4 linked regions of the Anolis sagrei genome follow. The protein of the gene in region 4 purifies or fractionates together with the protein of the main gene of each other region. This does not show direct contact. Links are inferred from orthologs where the notes say so. Each region holds a gene or a part of one and is shown on either strand. Other genes may lie near its edges. The genes, in order: POLR1E, CTDSPL2, MTA2 and KPNA2.

Region 1 (7,789 bases), about 28 Mb from region 4:
CTCCCCAAAGGGACACATCTACGGCAAACATTCAATGCCATTATACAATGAACAAAGACAGACAGTACATAAACAGAGGTAAAGGCTTCCCATCTTTTTCCATCTCCTGCATCTGGAGGCTGTGCTCAACTCCAACCACGGGGTGTGTATGCTGTCGCTCCATCTTCCATGCCGAGGAGCTTTGTTGTCCTTTAGTCACTCTTCCAATAGAATCACCCGCACAGGTGCCTTTTTTTACCTCCCCGCCAAAGCAGTACCTATTTATCTACTCACATTGCTGTTTTCGAACTGTTAGGTGAGCAGAAGTTGGACTGATGGTTGGGAGCTCACCCCAACCTGGGCTTGAACTGTCAGCCTTTCAATCAGCAAGATTTTCTACAGCTGGCGGTTTAACCTGCTGTGCTAAAGCCCGCCCCACAAAAAACTCAACAGAAAAAGATGACTATCCCAAATCAATTTCCGTTTGTAATTTTATTCAAGTTTAGGATTAGCTTCAATGCAGATATTCTAACTCAAGTAAACATACAATTACATCTATTTCTGATGTACAGACACACACATATATATTACCTGCATAGAGTATTGCACTTCAGGGCTCCTGCACCAAAATTATTTCCTACATAAGAAAGTCTCTCTGTTTCTGCATTCTAAAAAAGAAAAAAAAGAAAGATTAATGATTTTTTTGGGGATAAAAATAAGTTTTAAAACTAAAGTAAATGCTCCAAAGGCTCAAAGTTTTTTCCCCACCACAAAATGGGAAGCCATTGGCTTCAAGCCTTTTCAAAGTACCCTAAAAGAAAGTGGAATCTTCATGTCAAACAGCCACACAATGTCAATCTATTTATTTTCTTCTCCTCACTTCCACTGCAGTTGATGCAAAACATGTAAAGAAATAATACGAGGGTGGGTCAAATAGTAATGCCTCCATCGCTCTAACTTTTATTTCTTTCACAGCTATTGAACTATGTGTATATGATATAACAGAGGTAACCTTACTCTACTGATTTAGTCTTTTCGTTTTCCAATTGACTGATTAGAACCATGAATCTGAACGTAAAAGAAAGAGCGGTCATTAAATTTCTGGCAAAAGAAGGTTTTACACCTAAGGGAATCCACCATTGCTTGAAGAATGTTTATGATTTGCCCCCTTCTGACTTTTACCTGTTTGGACCTCTGAAAGACAACCTATGTGGTTTCAGATTTAAAAACATGGATCACAAAGCAAAGCTCTGAATTTTTCCAAAATGGGTTTGATGCCTGGGTTGAATAATGGCAAAAATGTGTACAAATGGATGGTGACAGTTCAACTATGAACTGTAGCGACTGCTGTTATATGACCATTCATAATGTTTTTATGACACAGGAAGCAAAACCTTTTGACTCACCCTTGTACAATGGGAATGGTATGTCTGCACATGTCATTTATTTTAATCCATTTTCCAGACATGGATACTGAATAAGCAAATTTCTGTTTTTTAAGTTATGTCTTAAGGTACCCAGATTCCATGCTGAGCGCATTTTCTGTGACTTTAAGGTAAGCATCAGGAAGAGGAGGAATGTCCTGTCGCTAGAATATATAACAGGTAAGAATACTTGTGTGTGTGTGTGTATGTGTATGTATATAAACACACACATACATATATATATTCATGCACAGGCCCCGGTGGTGCAGTGGGTTAAACTGCTGAGCTGTGAAACTTGTTAACCGAAAGGTTAGTGGTTTGAATTGGGGGAGCGGGGGGAGCTCCCATTGTTATCCCCAGTTTCTGCCAACCTAGCAGTTCAAAAACATGCAAATTTAAGTAGAGCAAATAGGTACCACTTCTGCGGGAAGGTAACGATGAAAATTAATGAAAATTATTGGTGAGTATTTCAATTTCTAAATCCCCCCCTCCCCCGCCATGCAGTCATGCCATCCACATGATCTTGGAGGTGTCTACAGACAATGCCGGCTCTTTGGCTTGGAAGTGGAGATGAGCACCACCTCCCAAAGTCGGACACAACTAAACTTAATGTCAGGGGAAACCTTCACCTTTACTTGAGGCCATATCTGTGAAACTTAAATCTGCCATTTAAGGCTACAATCCTATATCCATCGAGGTGAAATAAATATCACTGAACACTGTATTTCTTGCCTCTGAAGAGACATTGACAAAATTGTTCCATAACAAAACTTCAAAATCTAATAATAAAATCATTTGAGCTTTGTGTAACCCTCTCATGTTGTTGTTGTTCATTCGTTCAGTCGTCTCCGACTCTTCGTGACTCTCATAAGTTTACCAAATAAAAAAGTGGGATAGCTGAGTAAGTAAGCAAATAAATACAATTCCTGTTCACCAGTCTATCAGTCAATTAACAAAGCAAGCTTGCTCTATACCAAACCTGCTTACCAAAGTTACTTTCTGCTTCTTTCTCGGGTTTGTGGTGTCTTTGTTTCTGTATAGGTTGAAAGTCATATTTTCAGAACTCTTCAGTTTGCCATTTGTGAACTGAACTGTGCATGAGTGAGAAAACAAAGGTAAGAAAAATTGTAACACCAGCATTTTAGCCTTTGTGAATGCTTTGTCATGCTTAAACTTAAACCTCTCCCCCCAGCATCAACTGCTGCTCTGGGCCAGACTGAAGAGAGAGGGGGACAGGGACAGTTCCACCTTGTCTCCTGCATATGTCATCAGTTGGGGACCTCTCTCCCAAGCACCAACAAGCCACAAATCCCAGGATCCCATAGCATTGAGACATGGCAGCTAAAGTGGGGCCAGGCTGCACTCCAGGCCTAGAGATCAGGGCTTATTTACTTCAATGACCCGGCCACGTGCTTGAGCCTTTGCAAGGGAGCCCTGGGTGCAAAGGCAAGACCAAACCAGGGAAGAATCAGCACTGAGAGCCTTTCTGGCCCCGATCCCTTACCGAGAGGGGCGCTCTGTCCTTCTTGGGGGTCCCCCCGGTAGCACCACCGAGCCTCCATGGCCAAGGATGCCTCTGTTTCCCCGCGTGTGTCCAGCTGCAGGAAGAGGAGTGGCTTTGATCCCAAGCAAACCCCTTCCGCCTGCGAGGCTCACTCCACGAAGCCTCTGTCGCCACCTGCAGGCAGGAAGGGGGAACTGGCTCGAGTCTCCTTTCCTCATATTTACATTGACAAAATGTAAACACCATGCAGGGGCAAACAGTCCTTTAGGCTGTTAGGAATTGTGAGAGTTGAAGTCCAAAACACCTTGGTAAGGGATCAGGGCCAGAAAGGCCAAAGTTTGCTCATGCCTGATCTACACTGTAGAATCAGTGCAGTTTGATCATGCTACAATTGCTATCCTTCAATGCTCTGGAATCATGGGATCTATAGTCTAGTGAGGCACCAGTGAAGACCATCAACACCGAAATACAACACCGCCTGAGCTCTGCGAGTGCAGCATTTTCCCGAATGAAGCAGAGAGTGTTTGAGGACCGGGACATCCGTAGGGAGACCAAGGTGCTTGTTTATAAAGCTATTGTCCTCCCAACCCTGCTATACACCTGCGAAACGTGGACTGTCTACAGACGTCACATGCAACTCCTGGAACGATTCCATCAGCGCTGCCTCCGGAAAATCCTGCAAATCTCTTGGGAAGACAAGCAGACAAATGTCAGCGTGCTGGAAGAAGCAAAGACGACCAGCATTGAAGCGATGGTCCTCTGCCATCAACTCCGCTGGGCCAGCCACATTGTCCAGATGCCTGACCACCGTCTCCCAAAGCAGTTGCTCTACTTTGAACTTAAGAACGGAAAATGGAACATTGGTGGACAGGAAAAGAGATTTAAAGATGGCCTCAAAGCCAACCTTAAAAACTCTGGCATAAACACTGAGAACTGGGAAGCCCTGGCCCTTGAGCGCTCCAGCTGAAGGTCAGCTGTGACCAGCAGTGCTGCAGAATTCGAGGAGGCATGAGTGGAGGGTGAAAGAGAGAAATGTGCCAGGAGGAAGGTGCATCAAGCCAATCCCGACCGGGACCGCCTTCCACCTGGAAACCAATGCCTTCACTGTGGGAGAAGATGTGGGTCAAGAATAGGGCTCCACAGCCACCTACGAATCCACAAGGAAACCCATCATGGAAGACCATCTTACTCGTCCAACGAGGGATTGCCTAAGTAAAGTAAGAAGACCTTTGTAAACTATAACTTGTTGGGGGAAGCAACTTTCTCAAGCCTCCTCTATATGATGTTTGTCTGTTTTGTAATACATATACCTGAAGTATATGTCTTACTTGATTTGAAGTTTCTTTATCTCTATATACCGAAAGAGCAATGGGAGGGGCTGCAAGTCACATGACTGACTCAGTGATCGTTTAGACCAGGGGTCCTCAAACTAAGGTCCAGAGGCTGAATGCAGCCCTCCAAGGTCATGTACCCAGCCTTCACTTAGGGTCAGCCTAAGTTTGTAACGACTTGAAAGCACACAACAACAACAACAACCCTATCTCATCAGCCAAAAGCAGGCCCACACTTCCCATTGAAATACTAATAAATTTATATTTGTTAAAATTGTTTTTCATTTTAATTATTGTATTGTTTTTAAGTGGTATTTGCACTACAAATAAGATATGTGCACTGTGCATAGGAACTCATTCATGTTTTGTTTTTGTTTTCAAATTATAATCCAGCCCTCCAACAGTTTGAGGGACTGTGACCTGGCCCTCTCTTTAAAAAGTCTGAGCTCTGTTCAGGTGTAAACAGGATGACTGTTAGGGAATGTCAGTTGAGGAATGAATGACTCTTAGAGAAGTGTGTTAAGCCTTGAATGAGCTTCAGTATAGAAGTCTGTAAGAGTTCAGAAGCTCATCTTGATGTCGAACCTGAATTTGAGAGGCTCTGCCTAGGCAGAGACCGGCCAGACCCAAAAAGAGGATCTGGAACACCTGGCGAGACAGCAAGCACCAATGAAGATTTTCTCTAATTTTTCCCAAAATAGTCTCACCAAGTTGAAGGAAAGCCACCGAGATGTTTATTTCATTCCAGCTGGCACGGATGACGACCGCAGTAATCTGTCCAGGAGCTGACATAACTCACTGGGCAGAAAAATACAATATTTATAGCCTTCAGATTCAAAAGTTCCCATGCCCACCCTGAGCTGGTTTTGTAATGAGTGGCTGTGACGTCAGCAAGCCAGGAGGAGATCCAAGGAGTGCCCTGGCCCTGCTTTATCTGCCCAGCCAATGAGGTGGAAGGGAGGCAGGCAACGGGAAAACAATGAAGAAATGTCTAGTTGACTGGATTAAGAATGTCGAGTGTTTACCAAATGACCTGGCGATAGCTTCAGGCTCTCAAGCTTGGTCTGAGTTATTTTTCTGTTTCTTGAATTAACATTTTTGCCTGGCCCTGAAAGGCCAGGTCCTTTGTTTTTACTATCGCGCAATATGGAGTTCATTGATGAAACAGAGATGAGTTTTGGAGATCCAGATGTGGCACAGCAAGGATGCAGTGACAAATCCCTAGTTCCTCGTAGATGAGGAAATGTCCTTGGTGTTGAGTGATCCAATATGTCCACAGACTCCCTTAATCTGGATGACCTGGCTATCAGCCCTCCGATGTCCAGATATATAGAGTCATTTATCTATTGTCCATGCAAATGGATCTGGTTGAATCCTTTGTTAGGGGATTATCAGCTCAGGCAGTTTGGAAACTCCAAAAGCCATGAGTTGCTGGTTTATGAAAAGGTTGCTTTCCTTCATATTTTCTTATATAGACATATATACATATAGGGAATGAGGAATGGGGCAAGGGAACATACACAGAGTTCACAGGAAAAGGGGGAATCATGCAGGGTCTAAGGGGAAGTCAAGTCACCCCCCCCCCCCAAGTCCATAAAAATTTGGCAAGAGTTTATAGAAATTCCTATAAAGCTCATGAAAGTTCATAAGAACTCATAAGAGTTCATGGGGGAGGGGTGCATGGAAGCTCAGGGGAGCACTGAGTAGTCGGGAGTCCATTCATAAAAACAGAAAGAGAGATAGGGATTATGGGATCCATTCAGCCTGGTGTCCTTGGCAAAACCATGAATTCCCTGATTTTGAACTATCTTTTACAGAGCCCTGGAAGTGGAGGGTCACCTCCAATTACCATCTTAGGAAATTAGAAACTGTTGAGGTGTGTGTTTTATTTGAAAGTAAACTCTTATTAAAGAGAGCTGTATAAAACAACATAGTTTATTAAGGAACTGTTAAAGGTTATAAGTTCAAGATACAAACTCTTTGAAACGTTACTGAAGTTTTTAACCCTTGACAAGAAATGTGCCTGTATCTTTAAATACGTGAAGTTATCAGTAAACAAAACTTGTTGTCTTTAATAGAAGTCTGGTTGCATCATTTTCTGTTGAAAGTGTCATACCAAAACAAAATATCTACATGCCCAGCGACCATCCATTACCAAATAAACTCTGCTATCCTAATTAGATTGTGATCCTAACAGTTCATGATTTATACCCCGATGGTCAGTGATCCTAACAGGTCATGATCCATTATCGCCAATATAACTCCCATGATTTCATCGCATTGAGCCATGGTAGTTAAATGAAGGTCAAACTGCATTAATTCTATGATACGGATGCACCCTTGGGTAGGTTAATGTTACTTGCTAAAACCTTTAATGGAATGTATGTGAGAAATCCCACTCTTGTCCCTATTGTTAAGCTTTGGAAAAATCCTTTTGAGTATTTGAAAACCCAATTTCTTATCCACTTAACTGAAAACCCTTCCCTTCCCTTATTATAATTTTGTCTCATCACCCTTTCCCGCTCTTCAAACCTGGCAATTTGTTTTAATTGCTTTTATCATTTATTATTGTTGTTGGCACTGAATGAATGCCTGTTGTGAAGCCGCCCTGAGTCCCCCTCCGGGGGTGAGAAAGACGGGATACAAATATGCGAAACAAATAAATAAATAAGTTATATGGCAATGTGGACTCAGATAAGCCAGTTCAAAGTAGATATTGTGGATGATCTGCCTTGATACTCTTGAGTTATATGGCTGTGTGGAAGGGCCCTGAGACAAGGAGTGCGCAGAAATTGTTTGGCCATGTCCTTCCTTTGAAATATAGCCTACAGGACTTAGTACTCCACCCAAGTACCAACCTGGACGGCTTAGCTTCCATGAGAAAAGCAGTCCCCAACCTGTAGGCCTCTAGGTATTTTGGACTTCAGCTCCTAGATTTCCTGGCTATTAGCCAGGCTGGCTGGGGCTTCTGGGAGTTGAAGCCTCATATCTGGAAGACCAAAGGCTGGGAACCAAGGAAACAGAGTGAAGAGAGGGGAGGCCAGGGGACAGTTCCACCTTGTCTCCTGCACATGTCATCGGTTGGGGCCCCCTCCCCCCAGCACAAAGGCGGTCCTAGGTAATTTTCAACGATAAGTAAACAGTATTTTGCCCCCCCCCCCAACCAATCACTGATATATATTTTCTGTTCATCATGGGAGTTCTGTGTGCCATATTTGTTTCAATTCCACCACTGGTGGAGTTCAGAATGCTCTTTGATTGTAGGTGAACTATACATCCCAGTTACTACAACTCGCATATGTCAAGGTCTATTTTCCCCCAAGAGCGCCTCAAGAGCACCCCTGGGCAAAATCAACTATACTGCAAATGCTTACTTTGCATAATAGGTTGAGCCGCCCCTGCCCCAGCACTAACTGCTACTCTGGGCCAGAGTGAAGAGAGAGGGGGCCAGGGGACAGTTCCATCTTGTCTCCTGCACATGTCATCAGTTGGGGGGCCCTCCCCCCAGGAAAAACTGCCGCTCTGGGCAAGAGTGAAGAGAGGGGGTCCAG
Region 2 (7,544 bases), on a different chromosome or scaffold from region 4:
TAGGCCCTGCTCTTGGTTCTGCCTCCTTCGCAGGCACGGTTGGTGGGGACAACAAACAGGGCCTTCTCAGTGGTGATCCCTCGGTTCTAGAACTCCCTCCCCAGTGAAATTAGATCAGCATCCTCCCTCCTGGCCTTGAGAAAAAACATAAGGAGATGGCTATGGGACCAAGCCTTCGGGCAGTAAAGTAATGCAGTACAAGAAATGATTAGGAAATAGGTACAATTGACAATAGGAATGTTTTGGATTACGATTCTGGATTGTGTGATTTTAATGTTATATTAAGATGTTTTGAATTCTATGTTTTAACTGTTTAAATGGAATCCGCCCTGAGTCCCCCTTGGGGAGATAGAGTGGAATACAAATAAAGTTTCATTCTTATTATAATATATATACGTATATGTATTAGTCTAAGAGGACATGTGAGACCTGTATTACATATATGTAATATAGTATAATGTATTATAACATAGAACAGTATGAATGAGGCCTGTATTACATATATGTAATATAGTATAATATATAATGTAGAGTAAGATATAAGAGGACGAACAAGGCCTGTACTAGATATATATAATATAGTATAATATATAATGTAGAGTAAGGTATAAGAGGACGAGCAAGGCCTGTATTAGATATAAGCAATATAGTATAATATATAATGTAGAGTAAGATATAAGAGGACGAGCAAGGCCTGCATTAGATATATATAATATAGTATAATATATAATGTAGAGTAAGATATAAGAGGACAAGCAAGGCCCGTATTACATATACCGTATATACTCGAATATAAGCCGACCCAAATATAAGCCGAGGCACCTAATTTTACCACAAGAAACTTGGAAAATGTATTGACTCGAGTATAAGCCGAGGGTGAAAAATGCAGCTGCTACTGAAAATCATCAGTAGGTTAAATGTTTTTGTGTATTTACATAAAACTGTAATTTAAGATAAGACTATCCAACTCTGATGAAACCATTATTCTAACCTTCTTTATGTGCTTACGTATCCTTCCAATAATAATAGAGTAAAATAAGAAATATAATAATAATAATAATAATAATAATAATAATAATAATAATAGAGTAAATAATGGAAATTTAATAACAGTAAGAGAGTAAAATAATAAATGTAATAATAATAATAGAGTAAATACTGGAAATTTAATAACAGTAAGAGAGTAAAATAAATGTAATAATAATAATAGAGTAAATAATGGAAATTTAATAACAGTAGTAGAGTAAAATAATAAATGTAATAATAATAATAATAATAATAGAGTAAATAATGGAAATTTAATAACAGTAAGAGAGTAAAATAATAAATGTAATAATAATAATAATAATAATAATAGAGTAAATAATGGAAATTTAATAACAGTAAGAGAGTAAAATAATAAATGTAATAGAATCATAGAATCATAGAATCCTAGAGTTGGAAGAGACCTCATGGGCCATCCAGTCCAACCCCCTGCCAAGAAGCAGGAATATTGTATTCAAATCACCCCTGACAGATGGCCATCCAGCCTCTGTTTAAAAGCTTAATAATTAATAATTACTCTATTATTAATAATAATAATAGAGTAAATAATGGAAATTTAATAACAGTAAGAGAGTAAAATAATAAATGTAATAATAATAATAATAATAATAATAGAGTAAATAATGGAAATTTAATAACGGTAATAGAGTAAAATAATAAATGTAATAATAATAATAGAGTAAATAATGGAAATTTAATAATGGTAATAGAGTAAAATAATAAATGTAATAATAATAATAATAGAGTAAATAATGGAAATTTAATAACTATAAGAGAGTAAAATAATAAATGTAATAATACATTGAGTAAAATAATGAACGTAACACAATAATAGTACAGTAAAAAGAACATAATAATAATAGAGTAAAATGTAATAAAAATAATACTAATAACAGAGAAAAATATTAAATAACCTTGACTCGAGTATAAGCTAAGGGGAGATTTTTTAGCCTAAAAAAGGGGGCTGAAAAACTAGGCTATATACACCTCCTGTCACATCAGCACTTTTAATCTTGTACCCATTGCTCTGGCCCGGCCCAGTTTTATTGTGTTTAGTGTATTGTGCCTGTTGTTTATTTTGCTTTATTCTGTTTTTAATTGTTTGATTTGCTTAGATTGTATTGTTGTGTTGTGTGTTGAGGCCTTGGCCTTCGTAAGCCGCATCGAATCCTTCGGGAGATGCTAGCGGGGTACAAATAAAGTTTAATAATAATAATAATAATAATAATAATAGGCTTATACTCGAGTATATACAGTATGTGATATAGTATAATATATAATGTAGAGTAAGTTATAAGAGGACGAGCAAGGCCTGCATTAGATATATGTCATATAGTATAAGATATATCAGGCATGGGCAACCTTAGGCCTTTGGACTTCAACTCCCACCATTCCCAACAGCCTCAGCAGGCCCCTTCCTTTCCTTTGAGAGGGAAAAGGAAGAGGCCTAAGGCTGTGAGGAATGGTGGGAACTGGGAGTCCAAAACACCTGGAGGGGAGGCCCAAGCTTGCCCATGCCTGATACATAATGTACAGTAAGATATAACAGGACGCGCGGCGCTTGTATTCTTCCAGAGCTGCCTGGGCGCTCTGCACGTGCTCAGAGGCCCCCTGCTCGCCTCCCCTTCCTCCTTCCCTGACAAGAGCCCACCCCACTCCGACTGCGGCCTAGTCCTCCGAAGAGAGCGGCCCTCAATTTACCTGAGGGGCGCGAGAGGGAGGCTTCTGAGGGAAGGGCGTCCCTGGAAGCCCTTCGCCTTCTTCCTTCTTCCCGTCCTTCCTTCCTTCCTTCGGTTTCCCCTTCCTTCCTGCCCGTCCTTTCCTTCTCCGGCTCCCCAGCGGCCGGGACTGACCGCTGCTCAGCAGCAGCCCCGGCAGCGGCCCGTCGCCATTTCCCGCCTACCGACCTGCTGCACCGCACGGAAGGACCCGGATGCTGCTGGCGCGAGGGGGGAGAAATTGAGGGAAAGGGAGCTGGGGAATGCCGGTGCGCATGCGCGGAGGGGATGAAGGGGAAATCTGACTGGGGGAAAGGCGCATGCGCGGAGGGTAAGGGAAAGCTGACTGGGGGGAGGTGCGCATGCGCGGGGGACGGGCGCGGGAAGGAGGTACTTTTTTTCCTTCCCCCTTGACAGACTGACGGGCACACCGAATGGCTCTCCGCACATGCTCAAGGGAAAGCCTCGGCCCACCTTGAGGACGGCTCCCTTCGCCACGTGAGTTTCTCCTCCACACAATTAAGCCCCAAAACTATCGAGAATCGTAGCTGGGCGAAGTTGGAAGGGACCTCTAAAGGGCATCTAGTCCAACCCCTTTGATTCTGCTTTCCTGCAGCGAAAGCACAATCAAAGCCTTCCCGGCAGATGGCCAGCCACCCATAATGATTAAGATAGACATGTGCCTATTATATATATATATATATATACACACACACACACACACACACACTCCTACATTTGGAAGGGATCTCTAAAGGGAATCTAGTCCAACACCCTTGATTCTGCTTTCATGCAGGAAAAGCACAATCAAAGCCTTCCCGGCAGATGGCCACCCACCCATAATTATTAAGTTAAACATATGCCTATGATATATACATATATATATATATATATCTCCTACATTTGGAAGGGACCTCTAAAATGCATCTAGTCCAACCCCCTTGATCCTGCTTTCATGCAGGGAAAGCACAAGCAAAGCCTTCCCGGCAAATGGGCAGCCACCCATAATGATTAAGATACTCCTACATTTGGAAGGGGCCTCTAAAGGGCATCTAGTCCAACCCCCTTGATCCTGCTTTCATGCAGGGAAAGCTCAATCAAAGTCTTCCCGGCAGATGGCCAGCCACCCATAATGATTAAGATACTCCTACATTTGGAAGGGGCCTCTAAAGGGCATCTAGTCCAAACCCCTTGATTCTGCTTTGCAAGAAAAGTACACTCAAACCTTCCTGGCAGATGGCCAGCCACCCATAATGATTAAGATACTCCTACATTTGGAAGGGGCCTCTAAAGGGCATCTAGTCCAACCCCCTTGATTTTGCTTTCATGCAGGGAAAGCACAATTAAAGCCTTCCCGGCAGATGGCCAGCCACCCATAATGATTAAGATACTCCTACATTTGGAAGGGGCCTCTAAAGGGCATCTAGTCCAAGCCCCTTGATTCTGCTTTCATGCAAGAAAAGTACACTCAAACCTTCCTGGCAGATGGCTAGCCACCCATAATGATTAAGATAGACATATGCCTATGATATATATACCTATATCCCCTACATTTGGAAGGGACCTCTAAAGGGCATCTAGTCCAACTCCCTTGATTTTACTTTCATGCAAGAAAAGCACAATCAGAGCCTTCCTGGCAGATGGCCAGCCACCCATAATGATTAAGATAGACATGTGCCTATTATATATATATATACACACACACACACACACACACACACACTCCTACATTTGGAAGGGATCTCTAAAGGGAATCTAGTCCAACACCCTTGATTCTGCTTTCATGCAGGAAAAGCACAATCAAAGCCTTCCCGGCAGATGGCCACCCACCCATAATTATTAAGTTAAACATATGCCTATGATATATACATATATATATATATATATATCTCCTACATTTGGAAGGGACCTCTAAAATGCATCTAGTCCAACCCCCTTGATCCTGCTTTCATGCAGGGAAAGCACAAGCAAAGCCTTCCCGGCAAATGGGCAGCCACCCATAATGATTAAGATACTCCTACATTTGGAAGGGGCCTCTAAAGGGCATCTAGTCCAACCCCCTTGATTTTGCTTTCATGCAGGGAAAGCACAATTAAAGCCTTCCCGGCAGATGGCCAGCCACCCATAATGATTAAGATACTCCTACATTTGGAAGGGGCCTCTAAAGGGCATCTAGTCCAAGCCCCTTGATTCTGCTTTCATGCAAGAAAAGTACACTCAAACCTTCCTGGCAGATGGCTAGCCACCCATAATGATTAAGATAGACATATGCCTATGATATATATACCTATATCCCCTACATTTGGAAGGGACCTCTAAAGGGCATCTAGTCCAACTCCCTTGATTTTACTTTCATGCAAGAAAAGCACAATCAGAGCCTTCCTGGCAGATGGCCATCCATCCATAATGATTAAGATAGACATATGCCTATTATGCCTATTATATATATATTATATCTATATATGTATACAACTCCCTTCATCAGGGCAAGAAAACGTAATCAAAGTCCTTCTGACAAAGAGCCATCCTCTAAAGGTCAATCAGTCCAATCCTCTTCTGCCAGGCAGGAAAAGCACCATCCAAGCTCTCCCAACAGATGACAAGCCAGCTATAGATATGATAGATGTGACTGAGATAGACATATGTGTATGGTATATATAATACTACAGTTGGAAAGGACTTCAAGGGGAATCTTGTCCAACCCCCCCCCCCCCAATTATTCTGCCTTCATGCAGGAAAAGCATCACCCAAGCCCTCCTGGCAGATGGCCAGCCAGCCATAGATAAGATTAAGATAGACATATGTCTATGATATATATAGAATACTGCAATTGGAAGGGACCTCTAGAGAACATCCAGTTCAATCCCTTTTATTCTGCCTTCATGCAGGAAAAGCACAATCGGCAAATGGCTGGCCAGCCATAATGATTGAGATAGACCTATGTCTATGATATATATATAGAATACTACAGTTGGAAGTGACCTCTAAAGGGCACCTTGCCGAACCCCCCCCCCCCCTTTATTCTGCCTTCTTGCAAGAAAAGCACTATTAAACCTTCCCGACAGATGGCCAGCCAGCCATAGATATGATAGATGTGATTGAGATAGACATATGTCTATGATATATACAGAATCTAAGTTGGAAGGGACCTCTAAAGGATATCCAGTCCAACCTCCTTCTGTCAGCCAGGAAAAGCACCATCAAAGCCCTCCTGACAGGTGGCCACCTAGCCTCTGCTTGTGGACTGATAGAATCCTGGAGTTGGAAGAGACTCCTAAAGGATATCCAGTCCAACCCCCTTCTGACCTGCAGGAAAAGCACAATCAAAGTCCTCTTGACAGGTGGCCACCTAGCCTCTGCTTGTGGACTGATAGAATCCTGCAGTTGGAAGAGACTCCTAAAGGATATCCAGTCCAACCCCCTTCTGACCTGCAGGAAAAGCACCATCAAAGCCCTCCTGACAGGTGGCCACCTAGCCTCTGCTTGTGGACTGATAGAATCCTGGAGTTGGAAGAGACTCCCAAAGGATATCCAGTCCAATCCCCTTCTGACCTGCAGGAAAAGCACAATCAAAGCACTCCCAGCATATGGCCATCCAGCTTCTGAATAATAATAATAATAATAATAATAATAATAATAATAATATGCCAAAGTTGGAAGAGACCCCCAAAGGACATCCAGTTCAATACCTTTCTGCCAGGCAGGAAAAGCGCAATCAAAGCACTTCCAACAGATGACCATCCAGCCTCTGCTTCAAAGCCTCCAAGGAAGAAGGTTCCATTAGATTTCACCAAGTTGGGGCACCTCTATATTGGAGAATGATGGCTCAGGGCTGTGGTATAATAATAATAATAATCATCATCATCTTTATTTATACCCCGCCACCATCTCCCCAAAGGGGACTCGGGGCAGCTTACATGAGGTAAAATTAACCCGCTGTCCTTCAAAATACACAAAACAAAGATCATTCATGACTTTCTAAAGCTACAACTTCCAGGATTCTGTGAGCCCTGGCTATTCAAGCAGTGCCAAACTGCATCTGTTCTACAGTGTCATTGGCTCCTTTGTATACATGGAAGCCATGAGAAGCATGGCTTCCATGTCGCTGTCTTGGCCATCCAAGTAAACCAGTGGTTCCCAACCAGTGGCCTGCAGACCACTAGAGGCCCGCAAGAACTAAAATATGTCCGCAAAACATTTAACATTTAAAATCTTTATTCATTTTAATGAATCAGTTGCTACACCAGCAAGTAGGATGTCGGACGAACGCTTGATGTCATGTGTCAAGTACTCATGTACTCAGTCGCATGCGTGGTCTCATTAAGAGCCACATCCACTGTTTTAACATGTTGAGATGTATTCCACACTGGGCCTGCGTATTCAGCAGCAGAGTAGCAAAGCGCAAGGGCAGATGTCTTCATTGTGTCTGGTTGTGATCCCCAGGTTGTGCCAGTCAGCTTTCATATGATATTGTTTCTAGCTCCCACTTTTTGCTTGATAGTCAAGCAGTGCTTCCTGTAAGTCAGAGCACGGTCCAGAGTGAATCCCAGGTATTTTTGTGGAGTGTAAAACTGGGGTATAAATAATAATAATAATAATAATAATAATAATAATAATAATAGCTGACATGATATGAGGATTTAAAAATCGAACTGCAAAGACTCTGGCACAAACCAGTAAAGTGGTGATCGGCACCCTGGGTACAGTGCCTAAAGACCTTGGCCTGCACTTACACACAATCGGCACTAACAAAATTGCCAGCTGCAGAAGGCCACCTTACTG
Region 3 (7,536 bases), on a different chromosome or scaffold from region 4:
GTGGGAGGCTTCTCTCATGTCGTCGCATGGGGAGCCAGAGCTGACAGAGGAAGCTCATCTGCGCTGTCCCCGGATTCGAACCTGCAACCTGTCAGTCTTCAGTCCTGCCGGCACAAGGATTTAACTCATTGCACCACCAGGGGCTCCATAATACTAATAATAATACAAGATAATAATTATAGAGTATATATTACATGTAATAGTACTAATAATATTGCAGTATAGTGATATAGTACAATACAATAATATATAATACTAATATTGTGCTATGCTAATAATTATAATATATTGTATGTACATATATAATGGCGCTCCAAGCAGTCATGCGGGCCACATGACCTTGGAGGTGTCTAGGGACAATGCTGGCTCTTCGGCTTAGAAATGGAGATGAGCACAAACCCCCATTGTTGGACACAACTGCACTTAATGTCAGGGGAAAACATTTACCATTATTATGTACATATAATCATAATATTATAATATTGTAATACAATATTACAATATTGTATTGTAATACCATATAATAATATTGTAAAACAATCTAATATTACTAATAATACAATATTATAATATAATAATTATATTTTTTATATTACATGTAATTTTTACTAATAATATTCCAGGATAGCAGTATAGTATAATCTAGTTATGTATAATACTGATTTTGTGCTATTCTAACCTTCACTGGACCACACTAAATTTGACAACTTTTGGCCAGTTTCCAATCTCCCCTTTTTGGGCAAAGTCCTGGAACGCGTGGTGGCCTCACAACTCCAGGTATTCTTGGGAGACACGGATTATCTGGATCCGGCACAGTCTGGTTTCAGACCGGGACATGGAACTGAGACAGTCTTGGTCGCCTTAGTGGATGATCTGCGCCGGGAGGTCGACAGGGGGAGTGTGTCCCTGTTGGTGCTGCTGGACCTCTCAGCGGCCTTCGATACCGTCGACCACGGTATCCTTCTGGAACGCCTCGCGGGGATGGGTCTTGGAGGTACTGTTTTACAGTGGCTCTGGTCTTTCCTAGAGGGCCGATCCCATAAGGTGTTATTGGGAGACACCTGTTCAACCCCACAACCTTTGTCTTGTGGGGTTCCACAGGGCTCAATATTGTCTCCCATGTTAACATCTACATGAAGCCACTGGGAGAGATCATCCGGAGTTTTGGGGTACGGTGTCATCTGTACGCAGACGATGTCCAACTCTGTCACTCCTTTCCACCTGCTACTAAGGAGGCTGTCAAGGTCCTGAACCGGGGTCTGGCTGCTGTAACAGTCTGGATGAGAGCGAACAAATTGAAACTGAATCCAGACAAGACAGAGGTACTCCTGGTCAGTCGCAAGGCCGAACAGGGCATAGGGTTACAGCCTGTGTTGGATGGGGTCGCACTCCCCCTGAAGACGCAGGTTCGCAGCTTGGGTGTGATCCTGGACTCATCGCTGAGCCTGGAACTCCAGGTTTCGGCGGTAACCAGGGGAGCATTTGCACAGCTAAAGCTTGTGCGCCAGCTGCGCCCGTACCTTGGGAAGTCTGACTTGGCCACGGTAGTCCACGCTATTTATTTATTATTTATTTATTTACTGCACTTGTAGACCGCCGTTCTCAGCCCTAGGGCGATTCACGGCGGCTATGGTTACATCCTGTTTAGACTACTGCAACACTCTCTACGTGGGGTTGCCTTTGAAGATGGTTCGGAAGCTTCAACTAGTCCAACGCTCGGCAGCCATGATTCTAACAGGAGCAGAGTGCAGGGAGCATACAACCCCCCTGTTGCGCCAACTCCACTGGCTACCGATTTGCTACCGGGCTCAATTCAAAGTGCTGGCGTTGGCCTTTAAAGCCCTAAACGGTTCTGGCCCAAGCTACCTATCCGACCGCATCTCTGCCTATGAACCCACCAGGACTTTGAGATCATCCGGGGAGGCCCTGCTCTTGATCCCGCCTGCCTCACAGGCACGGCTGGAGGGGACGAGAGATAGGGCCTTCTCGGTGGTGGCCCCTCGGCTGTGGAACGCCCTTCCCACGGACATTAGACTAGCTCCATCATTAATGGTATTCCGCAAAAAAGTGAAAACCTGGTTGTTTGAGCAGGTGTTCGAATAGTCAGTGCAATGAGTGTAATGAACATAGGAATGGAACAATGGATGATGGATCTGGATCATGTTTTTTAGTGACGAGACGCTAGTGAATGGCTATTGTTGTTAATTGTATATTACTGTATAATGTGTTATGATGTTAACTGTTTTTTATGCTGTGTTATTGTAGCATTGAATTTTTGCTGTTCTTGTTGTGAACCGCTGTGAGTCGCTTAAGGGCTGAGAAACACTATTTCTTGTGATACACTACAGTAATTAACACACCTTGATTTCCATAATACCAGGCATGGGCAAACTTGGGCCCTCCAGGCTGCTAGGAATTATGGGAGTTGAAGTCCCAAACACCTGGAGGGCCCAAGTATGCCCATGCCTGATCTACAACGTACAACGCCAACAGGCAAGGAGTCAACTAAGCCAGGCTTCTCTTTTCTTGTCAATTCTTTTGAACCAGCCATGACATTTGCCCCCCCCCCCTTTTTCCCCCGCCCTCGTATTGAGACGCCAAGGTCTTTGCCCCGCTTCCTGAGCCTCGGCCCTGGCGCCAGGCTTCTCCCCACAGACCAGGCCCATCTCCACCGCCGCCCACAAGCGCCCCGAACTCCTCCAGGCCGAACTCCGGAGGCGCATGCGCACTCCCTCGCCGCTTCCCCTCAGTTCCCGATCTCTCCTCCCCCTCCGGCTCCTTCAGGCGCCCCTCCCCCCTCCAGCGAGCCCCGAGGAGCCCCCTCCCTTCCTCCCGCTCCTGCTCCGGCCTTACCGCCCACCCGGTACATATTAGCGGCCATGGCGCCTCCCGGACTCCGCCCGCCTCGGCCAAGCCGCCTCAGGAACTCCGGGCCCGGCCGCGCTCCATCCCCTCCCGCCTCCGGTGGCGTCGTCGTCGCCTCTCCTTCCCACGCAGCGAGCGCCGACCAAGCCTTGAGCCCTTCGTGCATTTCCGGAATCGCTCGGGTGAGCTTCGGGAATCTCCGGAAAGGATTCGTTCCTTGCCGTAGAATGGCGAAGCCTGAGGCCAGCGCTCGGCGGGCGGCGTTCGGTTTTGGTCGATTTTCGCTGTTAGGGGGCCTCGTGAATCTCCGGAAAGGATCGGCCGTTTCCGGCTATAAGGTTGCACCTTTCGTTTGTGATCGGAGCCAGAATTTTTTTCCCTATTAGAGAAAGGAACTAAGGCTTTGTTGTTCGACTTCAAGGCGTTCCCGACTTCTAGCGACCTTGTAATAGCGCATCAGTTGGAGCTCATTTGAGGCTGAGAGAGTGTGACATGCCCAGGATCACCCAGTTTTTTTCTCCTAAAGAGACTCCAGTGATAAAAAATACAACACTTACATCCTAAAGAAAATAAACATCAACATAGAATTAAAACTATTTACATTTTTATTTTTTATTGTGTCAGAAGCTAGCCAAGGATGCAGTTGTAATGTATTTAAAAACACAAAGTTAAAAACTTGGCATTGTGCTAAATTTGCCACTTGGAATACCTCTGGTGTTGTTGAGAGAAGGCCCTCCATTGTGCATGTGGCAGGGCTCAGGTCACATTGTAGTACGTCATCTGTGGTTTGCTCTTCTCCACACTCGCATGTCGTGGACTCCACTTTGTGGCCCCATTTCTTAAGGTTGGCTCTGCATCTCGTGGTGCCAGAGCGCAGCCTGTTCAGCACCTTCCAAGTCACCTAATCTTCTGTGTGCCCAGGACGGAGTCTCTCATTCAGTATCAGCAATGGATTCAGGTTCTGGGTTTGAGCCTGCCACTTTTGGACTCTCGCTTGCTGAGGTGTTCCTGCAAGTATCTCTGTTGATCTTAGGAAGATGTTTCTTGATTTAAGGCATTGGTAACTGGCTGATATCCAAACAGAGGATGGGCCGGATATGTCACTGCCTTAGAATCATAGAATCCTAGAATCCTAGAGTTGGAAGAGACCTCGTAGGCCATCCAGTCCAACCCTATTCCACCAAGAAGCAGGAAAATTACATTCAAAGCACCCACAACAGATGGCCATTCAGCCTCTGCTTCAAAGCCTCCAAAGAAGGACCTCCACCACACTCTAGGGCAGAGAGCGAGTTCCACTGCTGGACAGCTCTCCTTACAGTTAGGAAATTCGTTCTCATGTTCAGGACTTCAAAACCTTTTTCCCACGTCCTGCTGATATCGAGCTGCTTTTAGGAGGATCTTCCGAGCCGAGGAGATCCTGAGGACCACACCAAAGAGAGTCCTTGAACCTTGGTGAGGCCAGCGAAGCCAATTTCAGCAGCAAAAATATTTAAAATAATAAATCCTCACCAAAGCGGAAGAAGCTGGGACCGAGGTGTCTTTATTAGCGATTCAGCTGAAATCAGATGTATTGTAGGAATAGTTCCACTACAAGCATAGCAATACAGAATTTTACTGGCATTTTTAAAGAGAAAATACAGGTTTGAAAGTTTCAAAACTCCCTCCCTCTTTGGCTCCTTAGCAAATCAGGGAGAGGGAGGCAGGACGGAAGAGGGGCATTGTTTTGTCCAGTAAAAGTTGATTTTATTAAGAAAGGTTTTTCTGCCCTTGATGGGTTTTGGTGAAGGAAAACAAAGAGGATCGGGGCAGGGGACCTGGGGGGGGGGGGGATCAACCCTGCCCTTTGTGATTCAATCAAAGTGTCCAGATAAACTTCCTTGCCTGCCAGACAAAGCAAACAAGAGGAAGTTTCAGCTTGCTACTGTCCATGCAGAGGTGAAATAATCAAATAAGAAAGGGAGGTGGTGGTTCTCCCTCAAGCATTTCAACAGTCCTGGGTCACATTTTCTAGGGCAAAAGGCAAAGGGGAAAGGCAATATTTCATAGCAAGATACATACATTCAAATCATAAGCATTTCATAGCAACAAAACCCCATTTTTGTCCCACATTCCAAGTATATTTAATAAGAGAATTAATTTTCATGAAGAAGCCTGAAGTCCAATGTTTTAAAAGGTCTTTGAGGAAAGTTCATGAGGGAGATAGTATGTACTGAAGTCCAAGATATGCAGGCAGAGAGTCCATGATCATTGGGAAGGCTGGCAGATGAAACCCCAGCTGTGCTGCAACTGATTCACGCTTCTGGAAACTACAACTCTCACAAAGGACAGAAGTCCCAAGATCTAGCCATTTCCCAAAAGCCTCGTGGGGTCCTTGTTGTTGTCAGTGCCTTGGCAATGTGACCAAGACTTAACCCTTGTTGTGTAGTCTGGTGCCCTTGCCCTTTGCAGAACTATAAGTCACTATCCCTTATTTTTGGGGGGGGGGGTGCTCAACATCACTGCTGTCGCGCCAGGCATCGTCCCCCATTTTGTCTCTTTGCATTTCCTTTTTTCTGCCTCGGTGGAGTGTCTTGCATTTGTCCCTGTTGAACTTCATTGTGTTTTGTTGTTGTTCGTTTGTTCAGTCATTTCCTACTCTTCATGACCTCATGGACCAGCCCACGCCAGAGCTCTCTGTCGGGCATCACCACCCCCAGCTCCTTCAGAGTCAATCCAGTCACTTCAAGGATGCCATTTATTTATTTATTTATTTCTGTTATTTATTTATTTATTATTTAAACTTATATGCCGCCACTCCCCTGGGGCTCGGAGCGGCTTACAAGAATAGCTAAAATCTAACAAAGTTTAAAAGCAATTTAAAACAATTTAAAAACAACAGTATCAAACATTAAAAGCCTGTCGAAACAGGTATGTCTTACATGCCCTGCGGAAAGCTGGTAAGTCCCACAGGGCACGAACTTCAGGTGGCAGAGCATTCCAGACTGATGGCGCCACTGCTGTGAAGGCTCTGCATCTGGTTGCCATTAGACGCAAGGCCTTGACACTGGGGACTTCCAATAGATCTTGGTCCTCAGAACGGAGGGATCTCTGGGGTTGGTAGGGGGTGAGACGGTCCCTCAGATACATTGGCCCCAGACCATGCAAGGCCTTAAAGGTGAGTAACAACACTTTGTTACTTCTACCCCGCCCTTCCCACCCCAGAGGGGGACTCAGGGTGGCTTACAAAAGCACAATTTGATGCTGCCAACATCAAATTGTGCTTTTTAACAATCAGTTTCTGCACTGCAACAATAAAACCAATAAAACCGATTTCACCTAATTAACGCTCAGTGTTCGCCATCTCATAGTCCAAATTCCAATTCCACTTTGTCAGTCCTGTCAGTCCTAGTCATCTAATTGTCTTTATCTAGTTGTCAGATTGCCCGAAAGCCTGGTTTCCATCTAGCCCTTGGTCGGCCCCTCCTCTTTTTGCCTTCCATTTTCCCCAGCATCATTGTCTTCTCTAAGCTCCAGGTATTCTTAGTAGACATGGATTATCTAGACCCAGCACAGTCTGGCTTTAGGCCGGGACATGGTACCGAGATAGTCTTGGTCGCCTTAGTGGATGATCTGCGCCGGGAGCTCGACAGGGGGAGAGTGTCCCTGTTGGTGCTGCTGGACCTCTCAGCGGCCTTCGATACCGTCGACCACGGAACCACTGCTGTTTCTACTGTTTTTACTGTTTGTGAACCGCTGTGAGTCGCCTTCAGGCTTGAGATACAGCGGTATATAAGCAAAGTGGTCCACACCTTAGTTACCTCTAGATTGGACTATTGCAATGCCCTCTACGTGGGGCTGCCCTTGAAGACGGCCCGGAAGTTTCAACTTGTCCAACGGGCAGCAGCCATATTATTAACTGAAGCGAATTACAGAGAGTGGTCAACCCTCCTGTTTAAGGAGCTCCACTGGCTGCCATTTATCTTCTGGGCCCAATTCAAGGTGCAGGTTTTACCCTACAAATCCCTGAACAGTTTGGGACCCACCTACCTGCACGACCGCATTTCCGTCTATGAACTCACACAATCTCTTTGATCTTCCGAAGAGGCCCTTAGTTCGCTCCCGCCTGCATCGCAACTGCGACATGTAGGGACGAGAGAAAGGGCTTTATCTGTGGTGGCCCCCCGGCTCTGGAATTCACTCCCCAGAGACATTAGGCAAGTTCCCACGCTGGCAATCTTCAGGAGGAATATGAAAACCTGGTTATTCCAATGTGCCTTCAATGATTGAATTTAAAATACTCCCTCCCAAATTTCGCACAAATGACCTCAGAAGCACTTTATTTTATGGTTCGTGCAATGAATTCCTTCCTCAATCCGGATCTCCCTCCCCAACAGTTTCCATTGCCTAATCTCCCAGTGTTTTAAAATTTTAAATGTTTAATTTTTATCCTTAAATCTGGCCTTGCCTGTGCAATTTCTGTGTGTTTACTGTCCAATTTTATACTGCTGTCTCGTTTATTATTTAGATTTTGCATTTTATGTTTTCTAGTTCTGTTATGCCTTGTGTTATATTGTGTTATGCTTTTGTGTTATATTGTGTTATGCTGTATTGATGGGCATGGCCTCATGTAAGCCACCTCGAGTCCCCCTGGGAGAGATGGAGCGGGGTATAAATAAAGTATTATTATTATTA
Region 4 (6,901 bases):
TAAATAAGTATAAAAATGATAAAATAAAGGGAGCACATAATTTTGGACCAAAAACAGGCAACAGCAATCGCATTGTCTAGTTTTAAATAGTACTTCCTCTGTGCATGAGGCAGGGCATTGTGGGCAAGTATACAGGTGCGGAGTTGTTTGTTCTGCTCCAGAGTCACACAAGGTGTAGGATTCTTCTAGGTCCCTTCCAGACAGGCCCTATATCCCAGGATCTGATCCCAGGTCTTCTGTATATCCCAGATTACTGGCAGTGGGGACTCATAATCTAGTCTAAAGCAGAAAACCTGGGATCAGATCCTGGCATATAGGGCCTGTCTGGAAGGGCACCTCGGTATTGCCATTTTGCCAAGTTGTCTTTTGATCTGCCAAATCCACTTCTGAGTCTGTTCAGGGACTTCCAAGTACCCCAACCTTGGTTTACCCCTGGAGGAAGACCCTCGTGGGGGGCCATCCAGTTGGGATTTCCTGGTTTAACTGCCCAGAGGTATGCTCTTGCTGTTGCTGGGGGAACTTAAGCAGAGTGATGGTTCTCATGAAACTTTTCCTTGATTTGAGTCTACTACAGTGGTTCTCAACCTGTGGGTCCCAGGTGTTTTGGCCTACAACTCCCAAGAATCCCAGCCAGTTTACCAGCTGTTAGGATTTCTGGGAGTTGAAGCCCAAAACATCTGGGGACCCTGGGAGGAGGTGCAGGTTATTACCTATAAAGCTCTAAATCAGTGGTTCTCAACCTGTGGGTCCCCAGATGTTTTGGCCTTCAACTCCCAGAAATCCTAATAGTTGGTAAACTGGCTGGGATTTCTGGGAGTTGTAGGCCAAAACACCTGGGGATCCACAGGCTGAGAACTACCACTCTAAATGGTTCTGGACCTGCCTATCTGCGCGACCGTATCCTCCCCTATGAGCCCACACGGTGCTTAAGATCTTCCGGGGATGCTCTTCTTTTGCTCCCACCCATCTCAGGCGTGGTTGGTGGGGATGGGAGAAAGGGCATTTTCGGTGGTGGCCCCTCGTCTCTGGAACTCCCTCCCCAGGGAGATTAGGCTGGCACCTTCCCTTTCCACATTCCGCAAGGAATTAAAGACGTGGATGTTTTGTCGTGCATTCGATTAATGACTCCTATGACCTGGATCATGACCTTAATCATTATTTAATCCGAATTCCTATATTACATCACTATTCATATTTGTAAATTAAGCTGAATTAATCCTGATACTGTTTTCATGCTATTTCCTATGCTATTATACGTTTCTACCCACCTTACTGAACCACTTACCCTTTAATAATAATAATAACAACATCAACAACCACCAGTTTCGCATACTGGCCTCCTTCCCCCTCCAAAAATTAGTCTGCTGTTGCTTGATGCTTGTTTACTACTGTTATAGTGTTTTATGCTATTTTTAATTTGATATTTGCTACTGTTCTGTTTTTAATTCTATTCTGCCTGGACTTGGCCCCATGTAAGCCGCCTAGAGTCCCTTCAGGGAGATGGAGGAGGGGTAGAAAATCAAGTTCTTCTTTCATAGTATTCAACCTTATTTCTCTCACAGTTGGCAGCAACTTCCAGTCACACATTAGCTAACACATATAAAGTCTGTGTTGTTGTAGGTTTTTCCGTGCTATATGGCCATGTTCTAGAGGCATTCTCTCCTGACGTTTCATCTGCATCTATGGCAAGCATCCTCAGAGGTTGTGAGGTCAGGTTTATTCGGGCTATATGGCCATGTTCTAGAGGCATTCTCTCCTGACGTTTCGTCTGCATCTATGGCAAGCATCCTCAGAGGTTGTGAGGTCAGGTTTTTTCAGGGTAGATGGCCATGTTCTAGAGGCATTCTCTCCTGACGTTTCGCCTGCATCTATGGCAAGCATCCTCAGAGGTTGTGAGGTCATTTTTTTCGGGCTATATGGCCATGTTCTAGAGGCATTCCCTCCTGACGTTTCACCTGCATCTATGGCAAGCATCCTCAGAGATTGTGAGGTCAGTTTTTTTCGGGGTATATGGCCATGTTCTAGAGGCATTCTCTTCTGATGTTTCGCCTGCATCTATGGCATGCATCCTCAGAGGTTGTGAGATCAGGTTTTTTCGGGGTATATGGCCATGTTCTAGAGGCATTCTCTCCTGACGTTTCGTCTGAATCTATGGCAAGCATCCTCAGAGGTTGTGAGGTCAGGGTTTTTTGGGCTATATGGCCATGTTCTAGAGGCATTCTCTCCTGACGTTTCGCCTGCATCTATGGCAAGCATCCTCAGAGATTGTGAGGTCAGGTTTTTTTGGGGTATATGGCCATGTTCTAGAGGCATTCTCTCCTGACGTTTCGTCTGCATCTATGGCAAGCATCCTCAGAGGGAGACCTCACAACCTCTGAGGATGCTTGCCATAGATGTAGGCGAAACGTCAGGAGAGAATGCTTCTAGAACTTATGGCCATATACCCCGAAAAAACATACAACAACCCAGTGATTCCAGCCATGAAAGCCTTCAACAATACATACAGAGTCTACCAACAGATGTAGGTTTGAGTTATCTTGTGATTATCCAGTGTTTCATTCAGTGCTATATACCCCTGATTCACTTGGGCAGATGAATGCCAGAGGGGGAAGCTATCTCACAAATCTCTATGCTTTTTTTCATATTCTGGTGTGAGGGAAACGTCCAGGGGAATTTAGGAGGGAGGTGAACCACCTGGACGTGAAGGAACAAACCTGAGAGGGCTTTTGGGCCTAGAAAAAGGCACATTCCCCTCAAGCCTGCCTATATTTAAAGAGAAAACAGTCCATATGACCTTCAGTTTCGGTTCTAACCGTTTCTCCCCTTCTCTAAGACTTAATGAGCCTCTCCTAGTGGAAATAATCGCCCTTAATTAAAAGAAGGAGGTGAAGAAAGCGTCTTTCCGACCCACCTGGCAACAGCAGCAGCGCCTCCTTCCCGCCTCGTAGCCCGGCCTCAGAGTCTCCTCCGACACGTTGCGGCTCCAGAGGAAGAAGACGAAGGAGCAGCGGGTCGGCCCCGATTTAAATTTCCAGCGCCTTCGCTCTCTCATTGGCCAGTTCGAGTCAAAGCAAAGCCGCCATTGGCCAGTTTGAAAAGACGGAAAGGAAACTCCTCCGCCTCGCGCTGCTGGGGGAGGCGGGGCATCCCTCGAGGCCTTGAGAGTAACGTCGACCATTGTCAACCGCCTTCAAGACTCCATTTCCCAGAAGGCAACGCTGCATGTTCAGACCGTTTAACTGCCAAGGGCGCCATGGGAGTTGTAGTTTTACGCGCTCTTTAACCTTCTCTGCCAAAGAGTGCTACCAAGCTTCAATGCCCAAATACTTTCACACAGCCGCATAACCCAGAACATCAAGGCAGAAAATCCCACAGGCTCTGCTTTGAACTGAGTTATCTGAGTCCACACTGCCATATGATCCAGTTCAATATGGATTTTATTCAGCTGTGTGGAAGGGGCCTATGAATCATGTCATTTAGATCTGTTGTTGGTTTTTGAAATGTGTGATAGATTATCATAATATTAGAATAGTATCATAATATTATATAATATCATAATATTATTCTATCATAATATTATATTACAACATATAATATAATATGTATTATAATATTATCATAATATTATGTAATATAATAACATATAATAAAATATAATATAATATAGAGTATAATATAATATATTATATTATAATATAATACATATTACAATATTATCATATTATATAATATATATATATAATATTATATTATATTATTATATTATAATATAATATTATGATAGAATATTATATAATAATATCATAATATAATATTTAGAACACGGTTCAAAATGAAAATGATGTCCTAATCAATACTTGGGATGCATCTGCACTGTAGAATTAACGCAGTTCGATACTACTTTAACCCCCATGGCTCAATAATCTGGAATCTTTAGGTTTGTAATTTGGTGAGGCAAAAAATAGCTTGGCAGAGGAGGCCCAGACCTTATATTAAAAAAATATCATTGAGTCAAAGCAGTTAAAGCGGTGCCAAACCGCATTAATTTGGCAGTGTAGATGTAGCCTATGGCAAGACGAAGGTAAGCTATCAGCCACCCAGGCAAGGCACTGTTCTGTCATTCCTGGTTGATCTCAAACTTGCAAGCGCTTCCATGCATGGACGTGTAAAATATACACGTATCTTCCATTCACACGTGACAAGGAAAACAGCACTCAAGGTGGGAAACGCCTTCCTTGCCCTCCGGCGTTCTATATGCAAATAGACTGGCTGAGTGGGCGGGGCTAGAGCGGCATTAAAGGGCGGTCGCTTAGACCGAATAGGACGGAGAGGGGCGTGGCTTATTTTAAGAGAGGGGACTGAAGGCCTGGATTGCAGACAGGAAGTAGGCGTGGCCAAGCATATCCGGGCGGGGCGCTTAGAGTGCGGCGCTCAGCCGTTTTTGCCGGGTGACCCAGTGGCCTAATGGATAAGGCATCAGCCTCCGGAGCTGGGGATTGTGGGTTCGAGTCCCATCTGGGTCGTGCCTTGTTGTTTTGCAGGGAGGCCCAAATTCGTGGAGTGTCTTTCTCATTTTGATAGCAGACATCTGAGCCATCCTTCGAGTAGATCCGGCTGGAACGGATGAGGTTTTGAATTAGCCCACTGTGGCAAAGTCTTCCTCTTTGCATGCCATGCAACAAATGCTCCCAATGATTTAAGGGCCCTTCTTATATTTAAACGACTTTAGTGGGTAGTCCTCTATCTTCTTCTATATAAATAAAAATGTAATGTTCGTTTGTGGGATTAACAGAACTCAAAAAACACTGGGGGAACTGACACCAAATTTGGACACAAGACACCTAACAACCCAATGTATGTCCTTCACTCAAAAAATATTGATTTTGTCATTTGGGAGTTGTAGTTGCTGGGATTTATAGTTCGCCTACAATCAAAGAACATTCTGAACCCCACCAACGATGGAATGGCACGCAGTTCTCCCATGACCAACAGAAAATACTGGTAGGGTTTGGTGGGCAGTGTCCTTTCCTTTTGGAGTTGTAGTTCACCTACATCCAGAGAGCACTGTGCACTCAAACACTGATGGATCTGGACCAAACTCAGCACGAATACTCAATATGCCCAAATGTGAACACTGGTGGAGTTTGGGGGAAATCGAATCTTGACATTTGGGAGTTGTAGTTGCTGGGATTTGTAGTTCACCTACAATCACAAAGCATTCTGAACCCCACCAATTATAGAATTGGGCCAAACCTCCCACACAGAACCCCCATGACCACCAAAGTGGGCCACAGCAACGCATGGCAGGGGATGGCTAGTCTATATAAATAAAAATGTAATGTTCATTTGTGGGATTAACAGAACTCAAAAACCACTGGACGAATTGACACCAAATTTGGACACAAGACACCTATCAGGCCAGTGACCATCACTCAAAAAAAAAACCCACTGAAAAACCAAAAAATAAATAGCCAAAAAATAAAAAAATTACAATGCATGTGCAAAACACACATATATACACACACAAAGAACATATATGCAGACTGGGCCACAGCAACGCGTGGCAAGGGATGGCTAGTTCAGAATAAAATGGGCTTCCAACGGGGAAACGGGAGCATTTTTACACTGGGAGTTGTAGTTTTATAAGGTCTTTAACCTCGTATGCCAAATAGTACTAGACCTTACCAAACTACAAATCCCATGGTTGCATGCCGTTGAGCCAGCCAAAGTGGGGTTTTTTCGTATCAGGAGTGACTTGAGAAACTGCAAGTCGCTTCTAGTGTGGGATAATTGGCTGTCTGCGAGGATGTTGCTCAAGGGACGTCCGGATGTTTTGATGTTTTACCACCCTTATGGGAGGCTTCTCTCATGTCCCTGCATGGGAAGCTGGAGCTGACAGAAGAAGCTCATCTGCACTCTCCCCTGATTCAATCCTGTGGTATCGAAAGTTGGAGGTCAGCTGTGACCAGCAGTGCTGTAGAATTTGAAGAGGCATGGATGGAGGGCGAAAGAGAGAAACGTGCCAAGAGGAAGGCGCGTCAAGCCAACCCCAACTGGGACCGCCTTCCAGCTGGAAACCGATGCCCTCACTGTGGGAGAAGATGCAGATCAAGAATAGGGCTCCACAGCCACCTACGGACCCACCCCCAGGACACTACACTTGGAGGACCACCATCCTCGGACTACAAGGGATCGCCTAAGTATCGAAAGTGGTATCAATACTGCATTTATTTCTACAGTGTAGATACCCTCTAAAGATACTTCCAATTCAAGATGTTTCAGGGTGCATCTACAGTGTGGAATGAATTTATTTTGACACAACTTTAATTGCCAGGATTCGGTGATATGAGATCCTGGGTGTGGGAGCTTGTTGAGCCACGGCCCTGGTTCAAGTGGAGTCCAACTGCATTATTTCTGCAATGCGGATGCCCCCCAAAAGGATTTCTGCATCAGTTTATGATGTGCTTTTTTTTACTATACCTAGTACTGTTGCCACACTAAAGTTAATTTAGGGAAATTCCTACTTCAAAACAGCCTTGGCTGCTCTTTAAAAAAGGGAAAACATAATTGCATCCGCTCAATATTCCAATTAATCACTGATCCATCTGTTCAGTCCAAGCAAGAAGAAAAGCTTTTGAAACGGGAAGGGACATTTAGCAAAATGCCAGAGAGTAGTGTTCAAAAATTATTACAAGGAATACATTTTGAGCATAACCATAACCCAAATGGTGGCTGCTACAGCCTGGTAGCAACGCTATGGAGACTTATGCAATGATATGTCAAGCAATATCAATGAATGCATATCGTAGCCATATATGTATGTTGATACATATGGCAACCTTAGAAGGCTTTTCTAGATAGGGTAGTCTCATCAGTTCCTTCCTCTGAAATACAGCACTAT

Evidence for each region.
Region 1: the proteins of KPNA2 (region 4) and POLR1E purify together in Homo sapiens (affinity purification with mass spectrometry; 3 studies listed by BioGRID and IntAct, with this or other methods). This does not show direct contact. The link is inferred for Anolis sagrei from reciprocal best matches to the Homo sapiens genes KPNA2 and POLR1E.
Region 2: the proteins of KPNA2 (region 4) and CTDSPL2 purify together in Homo sapiens (affinity purification with mass spectrometry; 4 studies listed by BioGRID and IntAct, with this or other methods). This does not show direct contact. The link is inferred for Anolis sagrei from reciprocal best matches to the Homo sapiens genes KPNA2 and CTDSPL2.
Region 3: the proteins of KPNA2 (region 4) and MTA2 purify together in Homo sapiens (affinity purification with mass spectrometry; 4 studies listed by BioGRID and IntAct, with this or other methods). This does not show direct contact. The link is inferred for Anolis sagrei from reciprocal best matches to the Homo sapiens genes KPNA2 and MTA2.

The regions. Positions count from the first base shown.
Region 1 is NC_090022.1:152,394,596-152,402,384, forward strand, and holds the start of POLR1E (DNA-directed RNA polymerase I subunit RPA49), read right to left. Parts: upstream 3,016-7,789; 5' UTR 2,966-3,015; coding exon 2,908-2,965; intron 2,495-2,907; coding exon 2,391-2,494; intron 648-2,390; coding exon 571-647; intron 1-570. UniProt on the Homo sapiens protein: Component of RNA polymerase I (Pol I), a DNA-dependent RNA polymerase which synthesizes ribosomal RNA precursors using the four ribonucleoside triphosphates as substrates.
Region 2 is NC_090029.1:23,291,823-23,299,366, reverse strand, and holds the start of CTDSPL2 (CTD small phosphatase-like protein 2), read right to left. Parts: upstream 3,022-7,544; 5' UTR 2,746-3,021; intron 1-2,745. UniProt on the Homo sapiens protein: Probable phosphatase.
Region 3 is NC_090032.1:12,528,002-12,535,537, forward strand, and holds the start of MTA2 (metastasis-associated protein MTA2), read right to left. Parts: upstream 3,019-7,536; 5' UTR 2,882-3,018; coding exon 2,854-2,881; intron 1-2,853. UniProt on the Homo sapiens protein: May function as a transcriptional coregulator. Acts as a component of the histone deacetylase NuRD complex which participates in the remodeling of chromatin.
Region 4 is NC_090022.1:179,962,839-179,969,739, forward strand, and holds the start of KPNA2 (importin subunit alpha-1), read right to left. Parts: upstream 3,016-6,901; 5' UTR 2,912-3,015; intron 1-2,911.